2 linked regions of the Macaca mulatta genome follow. The protein of the gene in region 1 binds, or shares a complex with, the protein of each later gene. Links are inferred from orthologs where the notes say so. Each region holds a gene or a part of one and is shown on either strand. Other genes may lie near its edges.

The links. The genes of interacting proteins can lie anywhere in the genome.
Region 2: RUVBL1 (region 1) and UXT share a complex: the UniProt entries of both Homo sapiens proteins name them as parts of the PAQosome complex. The link is inferred for Macaca mulatta from reciprocal best matches to the Homo sapiens genes RUVBL1 and UXT.

The regions. Positions count from the first base shown.
Region 1 is NC_133407.1:155,848,385-155,854,394, reverse strand, and holds the start of RUVBL1 (ruvB-like 1), read right to left. Parts: upstream 3,639-6,010; 5' UTR 3,560-3,638; coding exon 3,419-3,559; exon of another isoform or gene 2,323-3,418; intron 999-2,322; exon of another isoform or gene 826-998; intron 1-825. UniProt on the Homo sapiens protein: Possesses single-stranded DNA-stimulated ATPase and ATP-dependent DNA helicase (3' to 5') activity; hexamerization is thought to be critical for ATP hydrolysis and adjacent subunits in the ring-like structure contribute to the ATPase activity.
Region 2 is NC_133426.1:47,679,134-47,685,239, reverse strand, and holds the start of UXT (protein UXT), read left to right. Parts: upstream 1-2,123; 5' UTR 2,124-2,167; coding exon of another isoform or gene 2,168-2,379; coding exon 2,380-2,477; exon of another isoform or gene 2,478-2,489; intron 2,490-2,523; exon of another isoform or gene 2,524-2,907; intron 2,908-3,437; coding exon 3,438-3,519; intron 3,520-3,661; coding exon 3,662-3,729; intron 3,730-4,011; coding exon 4,012-4,119; intron 4,120-4,324; exon of another isoform or gene 4,325-4,491; intron 4,492-4,953; exon of another isoform or gene 4,954-5,171; intron 5,172-6,106. Other genes in the region: uncharacterized protein LOC144338585, read right to left, coding at 2,168-2,381. UniProt on the Homo sapiens protein: Involved in gene transcription regulation. Acts in concert with the corepressor URI1 to regulate androgen receptor AR-mediated transcription. Together with URI1, associates with chromatin to the NKX3-1 promoter region.

The sequences.
Region 1 (6,010 bases):
ATACCTCTTGAATTTGGGAACAAAACTGTGTTTATATTCATATACATTTTTTTCCAGGGAAAGGATCCATAGATTTCATCAAATTCCCAAAGTAACCTACTAAGCGGTAAGAATCAATGACATAGAGTACTAGCTGGTCATCAGTGAACACTGTAAATACTGATTGTGAAGTTAAGCCTATGGCACTATTAGATCCATTGAATATGTTTTGAATCCTCAAGATTAAATTACTTTATCATCTGTTAGTATATTTTAAATACATTATAAATCTCTGAATTTTATTAACCATTTGCAGTACACGTGTGTATATATACATACACATATTCCATAAATGGGCTACGGACCATCATATATTTTAGAATATTTGACTATAAGGGGGGAACACTGAGAAAGTTACACTAGCTGAGCATCTATATCTCAAGACTGCATAATATAAGGTTTGCTACACTGATTTAATAACTGAATATGTGACTATCTAAAAGGTGCTCTTCTCTCTGGGCAGTGACCACACTGCCAGAGTCTTGTGAATACATCTTACCTCTTCTACCTCTATTCCTCATGGACAGTGAAGTACCTTGGTCTCACACTTATAGCAGCCCCTCAAAAAATATGTCAGGACTACAGGTGCCTGCCACCACACCCAGCTAATTTCTTGTATTTTTAGTAGAGATGAGGTTTCACCGTGTTAGCCAGGATGGTCTCAATCTCCCGACCTTGTGATCCGTCTGCTACTGGGGAGGTTGAGGCAGGAGAATGGCGTGAACCTGGGAAGTGGAGCTTGCAGTGAGCCAAGATGGCGCCACTGCACTCCAGCCTGGGCGACAGAGTAAAGCTCCCTCTCAAAAAAAAAAAAAAGAAAAGTAAGGAATATGTGTGTGTATGCTATATCCATCCCATTTCCACTTCAGTTACCAAAGCACACTGCCCTTAATAGAACCTAGAAGATATTCTTCAGATGCTACTTTTTCAGATGGAGTCTCACTGTCACCCAGGCTGCAGTGCAATGGCGCAATCTCAGCTCACTGCAACCTCCGCCTCCCAGGATCAAGTGAGTCTCCTGCCTCAGCCTCACGAGTAGCTCAGACTACAGGCACATGCCACCACACCTGGCTAATTTTTGTATTTTTAGTAGAGACAGGATTTTGTTATGATGGCCAGGCTGGTCTCGAACTCCTGACCTCAGGTGATCCACTTGCCTTGGCCTCCCAAAGTGCTGGGATTACAGGTGTGAGCCACTGCGCCCAGCCCAGATGCTATATTTCTAAACAGATAAAAAGCCTAGCCAGGCGCGGTGGCTCATGCCTGTAATCCCAGCACTTTTGGAGGCCGAGGCGGGTGGATCACCTGAGGTCAGGAGTTCAAGACCAGCCTGGTCAACAAGGTGAAACCCTGTCTCTACTAAATATACAAAAATTAGCCGAGCATGGTGGTGGGCGCCTGTAATCATGGCTACTCACGAGGCTGAAGCAGGAGAATCACTTGAACCCGGGAGGCAGAGGTGGCAGTGAGCCGAGATCGCACCATTGCACTCCAGCCTGGGCAACAAGAGCGAAACTTCATCTCAAACAAAAACAAAAACAAAAACAAAAAAACCTACTATGATCTTTCCATACAACCTTGTCATATAATCCTCAGCACTGAAGCTCTTTGGAAAACTCAAGGTAGAAGAGACTTTACAAACCTTGGATATGTGCTTTTATTTACAGACCAGGACCTCTTCCATCTATTCTCCCTCAGTTTCCACTCCAACTTCTCTCAGGTGAGATAAGCTTGAATTCTAACATTTAAAAAGAATTGGAAGGGTCTTTAAATGATCACCTAGTCTAACTCTCATTTTTCAGGTTACTGATGTGACCAGAATCACACAAGAACCTGGTAGCTGAGGTGGGTCTTAAGCATACAACATCAGTTAAGAGCATGGACTCTGGGATTAAATACATAGACTTGAGTTAAAATACTCTCCCACTTACCAGATGAGTAACCTTGGACCTACTTACTTGACCTCTATGAACCAGAATTTCCTCACTTGAACAGAGTTCATACTAGTCAATGGCACACATGTTAAAGGGTGTAGGGGTGAAGTGTAGTGATGCCTGCAATTCACCTTGAAATGTAAAAGTGGATTGGGAGAGGCACACATGGAAAGATATATGATAAAGCAGCATAGTAAAATGTTAATCATAGAATTTAGGTACACAGGTACTTACTATACAAGTCTTTCAACTTTTTTTGTATGTCTGAAAACTGTCATACTAACGCAGGGAAGGGACAACTAATTCGTTGGATATGACAAGGCAATGGACACACAGCTACTTAGCACAGTGCTTGGCACATGGAAAGCACTCAACCAATGTTAGCTACTTGCAGTAATAGCTGCTTAGTAAGACAGGGTCAAACACTTCCTTTTTGGAAAGATGATGCTCAAAATGGAAACCCGAGGTTTTTCTTTTGAGCCCTTTCTATTTAGAAAAATCAGGCTAAGAGGCAGTAGCTTAACTTTGTATTAAGTGAAGATTTTTGTACAAGCTAAGGCTCTGCAAAGGCCAAGGGGCATGGCTGTGACCTCAGACAACAGCAGGCAGAGAGAGTGGCTATGTCATCATAGAGCACTGATTTGGGAGTCAGAAATACATGTGAGCGCAAATCCCCGCTTTACCATTACTAAAACGAGTGTCAAGTATATGGTGAAGTGCCCTCTCCCCAACTCAATATTTTCACCTGCCAAAAACCAATAATGTATGTGAAAGTACTTGGCATCACTAGCACTCAGAAAAAGGAGATTTAATTGGAATGGTCAAAAAGGATGCTTGGAGGGATAAATAAACCAGATTGCTCTTCTCCCTAATTCCCACTTCTCTCCCTCAGCTCCCGGGTCCTGGGAACCAAAACGAGCTTTTAAAGTTTAGTCAATTCCCTACTTTAAACCGTCCCACGGCCTGCCAGTGCGTTCACAATAAAATCCAATTTCCTTACCGTGGCCGACAAAGTTCTGCAGTAACTAACCCCACCAAGATAATCATTTTTGTTTATTGATGTACACGTTTATCGTCTCTCACTACACTAAAATGTAACCTCCTATCTTATCTCCCGCTGTATCCCGGGAAATAAGTGTCGCGAATAGAGCTCAGCATGGATTAAGGGGACGGGGTTGTGTGGGTTTCCATTAGTACTTGTCCATGAGTTGAAGCAAACCGTCAACTGGCCCCAGTGGGTGGTCATTAGTTTTCCTGGGGCGGCCCCTCACCCAGCTCCAGGGCGGCGCCCCTCCCCGAGCCCCTGGCCTATTTTCACTTCCCTGAGGCAACTATGGCGGGAGACCCCTGGCGCGCGCATCCCGCCCCGAGCCACCGACTTCAGCAGCTCTCTCGCCGCAGCAGCCCTGCTCGGAGCCCCCAACTCCCTGGTCCGCTGGCCACACCTCTCGCGCGTTCTCCTGGCCCACGAGCCCTGAGGCCGCCTGCTTGGCCAAGCCGCTCTCGTCCAGCCCCAGCCCTTTCACGTGGCTGTGGGAAGCGATGCGCTGCGTTTTCGTGGTGCTCTTCACCTCCTCAATTTTCATTTTGCGGACGCCGGGAGCTAAAACCAGCGTGGAAAACCAGCAGATAGGACAGTGCGCCCAGCGCCCGAGTTACCATGCGGCCGTTACTAGGGCAATTTGCAAAGGCCCGCCTAGGTTGGCCTTCCATTGGTGGAAGCGGGAACGCCTCCGCTCTCCATAGGCTCACGGCTGCGCCCATCGCGGCTGCTGCTGGAGCTCCAGTCACTCACTTCCGGCTGTGTCTCTGGGTTGGCTTCCCCCGCAGCCGGCGCTTCCTGCCCAGGCTGGGGTCGGTAGCACAGTGGGACCACGCCCCGGATTTGATTTCGGGCTGGGGCGTTGCACGAGGTAGTGGCCCCCGGGTACCACTCCTAATCCTTCCGTCCTATCCATTATCACGTTTGAACGTCATACTCTTACGCGAAGCTCAAGTTATTATTTCCGTTTTGGAAATAGAAGAACTGAGGTTCAGAGCTTAAACTGAGATTGGTTACTAACCAATGTTTTCTGACTCCCAGACCTTTGCATCTCGTCTGGAAAGGCCCAGCGCAACCCACCACTCCTTCCGTGGAATTGTCTTCCCCTGCTTCTAATCTCCATCCTCCGCCGAGAGATAAGGTTCCTGCTAAGTTCAGTTCAGTTGACTGTAAATAACATTTTGCAGTTTTCAAAACTCTACAGCCCTGTAAGGTAGTGTAATTACGAATGCAGCTACAGACAAGCAGAAAGAGGCCCATCCGCCCAAGAAAGCACCACAAAGAATCAGAACTAGAAATCTTCAGGCTTCAAAACCTATATAATAATGCTCATACTGTCCCATTATTTCAGCTGAGACAATCAGCCAGCAAATTGTCCCTTCAGGTTTCATAATGATATTCGCACAACCTGCACCACAATTGTACTTGTCATCCATCCATCCATCCATCCATTTAACAAACACGAGCCAGACACCACAATGCACTGGGGATACAGGGATAAAAGTCTTGATGAGCTTACTCCTTGCTTAGAAAACTTGTAACATGAGATGTGGTGAGACAGGTACACCCAGGTGGCAAGAAGACCAGAGCAGAAGCCCCAGGAACAGCCTGGAGAGCCAGGGAAAGCACCATGAAGGTGATGTTGCCTTGGCTGAATTCTGACAAATGGGCGAGATTTCCTCAGAAGCAAATGGTATGACACCATTTTTACAGAAGAAGATACTAACATCCAGAGGAAGGGAAGGACTTGCCCAGAGTGCAGGAGAGTTTATATTAGAATTGAGACAGACCTGAAATCACACTTCCTTGTACATCTTGATTCTAAGTTTTGAATCTAGGTTTCTATATTTTTTTTCTTTTCTTTTGAATCTAGGCTTCTAGTGATTTGCATAATTACTGGGTCAATGTTTGTCTCTCCCAGTAAACTGCAGGCCTTTTGAGGGTGTAGACCACATTTGATTGTTTACCATTTTAACCTAAGTGCCTGGCACACAGCCTAAAACACAGCTCACAATTAAGGCTTCTCATGAATTCAATTAATGTTCTAGACCACACACAAACACATACACTTGAATTTATCAGTTTTGCTGCATGTATTTTATACGGTGGCTTTTGTAGGTCTTGGTAATGATTTCCATCAGAGAATGGAATCTTCTGGCATTTTCAGGGCCCAAAAGAACAGAGGCTCAGGCGGCCTTGGAAGGCTGAGGTTGTTACTAGTGGCATGTGGTTCATCAGCACTAGAGACAGCACCTCACAAAGTTGCTTAGCCCCTCATTGACTTGTTCCTGGTCATTACTCTTAGATAAGAAGCAATTCCTTTTTCTGTATGGAGAAGGAAAATTTTCCACCAACTAGTAGTCAAAGTGAAGCATTCTATGGGACTGACTTCTTTGTGTATTGTCCAATTAGGGAAAAAACCATTTTTTACACTTATTATTTTGGCCCTAATCTTTGTATCTTTTGGCACAAAGAGAAGGATTTCCTTCTAGCCCAAAAAGAGGAAGGGAGAATGAGGATTTTAGAGCACAGAGGAATATCCCCTGGATTACTTGGTCTAGTGGTTTTCAAACCACATTCCCAGCAGTTGTGGAATCTTTCTGTGGCCAGTACAGGTGGGGAAAGGGAATGCTAAGAGTGTGGGATACCAGCTCCATGCCCCCACTTCCACCAGAGTTGTTCCTTCTTTTTTTTTTTTTTTTTTTTTTAGTGCTAAAGAACAGTTAAAAAATCACTGATGGGCCAGGTGTAGTGGTCCACGCCTATAATCCCAGCACTTTGGGAGGCTGAGGCAGGTGGATCACCTGAGGTCAGGAGTTCGAAACCAGCCCGGCTAACATGGCAAAACCCCATCTCTACTAAAAATACAAAAATTACCTGGGCGTGGTAGCAGAAACCTGTAACCCCAGCTACTCAGGAGGCTGAGACACGAGAATCACTTGAACCCGGGAGGTGGAGGTTGCAGTGAGCCAAGATTGTGCCATTGCACTCCAAC
Region 2 (6,106 bases), on another chromosome or scaffold:
CTGTGTTCTCTGTTAAATAAATGTAAGTGTCTTCTTTTCTCTCTTTTCACAGGAAAGTGGTAGGTATAGATTAACTAGATAATATTTGTCTACCTAGTATCTATTCCAATCACACTCAATGTAATTTAAACTATATGTAACATGAGATTTACAGACAAAAAAAATTAGTCTCAATGTTTTCATTTTACAATTATCTCGTTCTAAGGGCAAAGGAAAGCTTAACTTTGCCAAGTGTGCTAACTCATGCCTATAATCCTGGCATTTTGGGAGGCCGAGGCAGGCAAATCACTCAAGCCTAGGAGTTTGAGACCAGCCTGGGCAACATAGACTTTGTCTCTACAAAATTTTTTTTTTAAATTAGATGGGCATCGGTATGCCGGTAGTCCCAGCTACTCGGGAGGCTGAGGCGGGAGGATCACTTGAGCCTGGGAGGTTGAGGCTGCAGTGAGTCATGGTCATACTACTGCACTCCAGCCTAGGGGACAAAGACTCTGTCAAAAAAAAAAAGAAGAAGAAAGAAAAGGAAGGAAGGAAGGAAGGAAGGAAGGAAGGAAGGAAGGAAGGAAGGAAGGAAGGAGAAAGAAGAAAGAAAGAAAGAAAGAGAGAGAGAGAGAGAGAAAGAAAGAAAGAAAGAAAGAAAGAAAGAAAGAAAGAAAGAGAAAGAAAGAAAGAGAAAGAAAGAAAGAAAGAAAGAAAGAAAGAAAGAAAGAAAGAAAGAAAGAAAGAAAAGAAAAGAAAAGAAAAGAAAAGAAAGAGAAGGAAGGAAGGAAGGAAGGAAGGAAGGAAGGAAGGAAGGAAAGGCAGGCTTAACTTGCTTGGGTTTTCAGCATTTGAAAAAAAAACTTGCTTTTACATATGAAACACAAATTATCTGGGAAGACTTCCTTGGTAGGGGTGGGTGCTCTAAGCTCTATAGATGGAAATAGCATTTGGAGATTCATCCCATGGTCTGGATTCTTCTCCAGGCAAAGGCCCATTCTTGCTGGGTTATAAGTTCTTGTTTGAAAATCTAACCTGAATTTAAGGCATTTCAGTGATAGACTGGATTAAGAAAATGTGGCACATATACACCATGGAATACTATGCAGCCATAAAAAAGGATGAGTTCGTGTCCTTTGTAGGGACATGGATGCAGCTGGAAACCATCATTTTCAGCAAACTATCACAAGAACAGAAAACCAAACACTGCATGTTCTCACTCATAGGTGGGAACCGAACAATGAGATCACTTGGACACAGGAAGGGTAACATCACACATCGGGGCCTATTGTGGGGAGGGGGGAGGGGGGAGGGATATCATTAGGAGATATACCTAATGAGTTAATGGGTGCAGCACACCAACATGGCACATGTATACATATGTAACAAACCTGCACGTTGTGTGCATGTACCCTGGAACTTAAAGTATAATTTTTTTAAAAAAAATCTAAACTGAAAAACAAATTCACTCAGTCACTCTAGTGCATAAGAATAAATTCACAAAAACCTTACCATTTAAATAAAAACATGGGAACTATGCCTAACTACAAGATGGCCAATATTCTGCAGAGGACTTCAGCCACCCTCTCCATTTGACTATCAAACGAGGTGATTAGATATAGTGCGTTGTCAATTTCCGCTTGAGCCTCAGTTATAGGTTGCAGGTACAGAGCTGGAGTTATCAAAGATGAATTTTAGAAAATCTGTCTCTGTTTAAAACCTTTTAAGTGCTCATACTCAGTCCCATTGCCAGGAGTGAAACCCAAACCTCCCGTATGACAAATCAATATCCAAGCCGACAGATCACACGGGATCTTCCTTATAGACCAGAACCATAGTCAATTCTTAGGTCCTTTTAAATATTAAACTCTTCACTTCCTCTCTCTACCTCTACCTGTGCGTCGCGCCTAACTTAGAACCGCCAAATCCCATTAAATCCCACCCTCACCAGCGACGCACGGTCTCCATAGGCTCCACGCGCCGCTTTTGCAGTCCCCCATTGGCCGGTTTATTGCCAGATGGCCTGCTCCCACGCCCTAGTCATCTTTGATCTCCTCGGATTCCGTGAAGCCCCGCCCTTCTCTTCTCCCCTTTGGCCCGTCTTCCCCAGCTGGCTATTTGGTTGGCCAGCGCGCTTGCCACTTACGTCATTCACCCGCGCCACCCGGAAGCCGCGGTTCCTACCAACCGTTTTTATTGCTGGCGGCCCTGAGGTAAAGGCCGCGCTTGGGTGTCCCTGGGTGGCCGGGTCCCCGAGTTGGGAGGGGCGGAAGGCTGAGCCCCCAGCTTGAGCCGGACAAGTCGATTCCCAGCGTTGAGAGGGTAGAGATGAACTGTGTGTGAGGCCAAACTGGAGCGGTCAACGTGGTCTTCCCCCTCCCCACTCCCCAGGAGCCCATCATGGCGACGCCCCCTAAGCGGCGGGCGGTGGAGGCCACGGGGGAGAAAGTACTGCGCTACGAGACCTTCATCAGTGACGTGCTGCAGCGGGACTTGCGGTGAGTGACAGTGCAGAGGGCGGGGCGTCTGGAACATTCCACGTGGTGGGTGGGGCGTTCAGAGTTAGGGCCAACCCTTTGGATTGGTGGGCGAGGCGTTCAGAGTCCGGCCCCGCGCTCCTTGGAGCGTGAAGTGGTGATGATATCCGGGGTGCAGTTTGGCTGGGACGTGGCGTTCATAGCAGGGGGCGTGTCAGCGCATGCGCGGCCTCCGATGTTTGACGGATTAGGGCTTGTTTTCTGGAGCCACAGTTCTCAGGTTCGAATCCTGGCTCGGCCATTCTTCATCCTTGTGAATACGTCATACCTCGCCTTTCTGTGCCCTATAAACTTCTCTGTGAAATGGGGAGTTTTCTGGAACCTTCCCCATGCAGTGGTTTTGAGTTTTTCATATGTCCCATCTTTGTAAATAATTTAGTAGCATGGATGCCTGAAACATAGTAGAGGTTCAATAAGTATGAAGAAATATTATTGCAATTTTTGTTAATCTAAGCAAGAAGTAAGGTGTTCAGAACTAGGACTATGAGCATCCTAAAAGGGATGGAGGATTTTTCTAGGGTGAGGATGGGACATTATGATTGGAGTTCAGTATTGGGAGTGTAGTAATAGTAATAATAGCTAACATGTAGAGAGTTTACCATTTGGTAGGCATTATTCTAGATGCTTTGAGTAAATGCTCATTTAATCCTAATGACTCTACAAGGTAATACTGTCATCTGCATTTTATAAATGGGGAAACCAAGTCCCAAACAGGTTCCTTACTTGCCAAAGCCACACATCTATAAAGGACAGAGCCCAGATCCAAACCCAGGCAGTCTGACCCAGAGCCCAAAATTAACTTGTACACTAAAAAGCCTTTTCAGCGTATGGTGACGTGAGAGTCTCAGAGGGTCATGATATGAGGTATACTAGGAGGAATGGGGCTGCCTATTGGTCACCATTGTACTTTCATCCCATCAGAAAGGTGCTGGACCATCGAGACAAGGTATATGAGCAGCTGGCCAAATACCTTCAACTGAGAAATGTCATTGAGCGACTCCAGGTAAAGACTATGGGGTTGGGTATCATTTTTTTGGTGTGTGTGGGTAAGGGAGGGAAATGGGAAGAGAGACTCCAGAGCCAAACCTGTCACCTGACCTAAGAGTTCACCACTGACCCCTACCTCTTTTTCCCTGGCCCCACAGGAAGCTAAGCACTCGGAGTTATATATGCAGGTGGATTTGGGCTGTAACTTCTTCGTTGACACAGTGGTGTGAGTGTCTACCCGCCCCTCTGAGCCCACAGGGTTCAGCTTACCCCTTCCCTCATGCAACATATATTTTTTTGAGTATCTTCTATGTACCAGGCACTATACGAGGTTTATTATCCCAGTAGGATATAAGCTAGGCGCTGGGGATGTGACAGTGAATAAAATAGGACAAAATCCCTGCCTTCCCAGAGCCTCAATTTGGGGAAGGGTGGGGAGCAAAACATACACTCTGCTAAACAGTGATAAGGACTTCCCCCGCACTTCCTCTAACCTCTCTTTCCTCAGCCCAGATACTTCACGCATCTATGTGGCCCTGGGATATGGTTTTTTCCTGGAGTTGACACTGGCAGAAGCTCTCAAGTTCATTGATCGTAAGAGCTCTCTCCTCACAGAGTAAGTCCATTCCATGAGGATAGTGTGTAAAAATACCACCATTTCCAACACTCTTCTCACTTTCCCCATGGCTGCCTAGAATGATACTTAAGGACTCATCTCCCCTCCTCCTCAGAGCTGGGGCTGAAGAAATGTGGTTGCAAAGCCCATGTATAGCACATAATAAGCATTCAAAAAATGATCTTTGTATCGTTCATTCATGCAGACATTTATTGGGAATCTTCTGTATGCCAGGCACTGTGCTTAGCAGTGGGAATGCAGCAGTGAACAAGACAGAAGAGTTCCTTGAAGGCTTAAAATCTAGAAGGACTATACTGTTATACATAAATACAATTATGACCAGATCCATGAGGTCTCAGCCTGTTAGAGTTGGTAACAAGAAAACTAGTTACCTGTGATTTCACTTCCTGCTAATTTTACTATTCATTCACTGTGTTCCTGCCACACTGACCTTCACATGCTTCTTTCAGCACCCCAAGAATGATCCCACCCCAGGGCAATTGCCGTAGCTGTTCTCTCTGCCTGCACTGCCCTTTTCCCCAGTACCCACATGGCTTCCTTTCTCCTCACTCATCTCGCTTAAATGTCGCTTCCTCGATGAGGCCCTCTGTAACCTAACTTTAAAATCACAGCCCCTGGCATGCTTGATTCCCCTCCGTCTACTTTTTTTCCCTAACACTTATCACCCCCTAATATTTACTGTGTAATTTCTTGCTTTCTCATATTGTCTCCTCCAATTAGAATGTAAGTTTTACAAAGGGGGAGCTTTGGTTTATATCCCGGGTGACTAGAGTAGTACAAACATAGAGTAAACACTCTGTTTTTGTTTTTAAGAGATGGTGTATCCCTGTGTTGCCCAGGCTGGAATGCAGTGACTGTTTACAGCTGCGATCATAGCATACTACGTCCTCAAACTCCTGGGCTCAAGCAGTCCCCTTGCTTCAGCCTGCCAAGTAACTGGGACTATAGGCGCACTGCTGTGCCTGGCTTTGTGTTTGTTGAAATAATTTGAAAGGGTATGCTGGAAGCAAATTAAAGTGGTTATTGAAGCAGATATGTGTTGGTGGTGATGGGGAGAGAAAGTGTGGGCTCCAGTTGAGTTTAAGGCAGGAGTGTCCAATCTTTTGGCTTCCGTGGGCTACATTGGGAGAAGATTTGTCTTGGGCCACACATAAAATACACTAATGCTAATGATAGCTGATGAACTAAAAAAAAAAAAAAAAAAAAAAAAAAGTTGCAAAAAAAATCACATAGTGTTTTAAGAAAGTTTATGAATTTGTGTTGGGCTGCATTCAAAGCCGTCCTGGACCGCATGTGGCCCACTGGTTGAGGGTTGGACAAGCTTGATTTATGGTTTTGTGCAGGGAAGGGCAGTTGGGAGCATAGATGAGGGATTTGAAATGTAGCTAGGGAGGGCCTCCCAGATGAAGGGACATTTGAATCATTTGACTGAGTGAAGAAGCCATGGGGCTATCTGGGGAAGAGCATTCCTGGCAAGAGGAATAGTGTGCCTGGCATGCTAGAGAAACTACCAAGAGAGGTGAGCTTGGTTTCAATGGAATGAGCATGGGGGCACTGAGAAATACACTTAGATTAACAACATCTCACAAGTGTGAATACCATTGATCTAAACTTCTTTGTTGGTTACATTTATGTCTTCCTACATTCATTTTTTCCAGAGTTGCCTCCCTTAGGGTTTCAGTAATTTTTATCTTTTCAAACCTTTCCAGTCATGGAAAGGACTAGCAGGTGTTAGTGGACCCAAAAGAACCTCAGACCTGCTGAGATTTCTGATTCTTGGTGTTCAGACCAATTAGCATATAGTTTAATGAAATGGCCTGCTTTCATGGTCAACACAATTCTGAACTGATGGTCATTTAGACCAAGTCCAGTTTGTTTGTTTTTGAGAAGGAATTTTGCTCTTGTCGCCCAGGCTGGAGTGCAATGGTGCGATCTTGGCTCACTGCAACCTCTGCCTCCTGGGCTT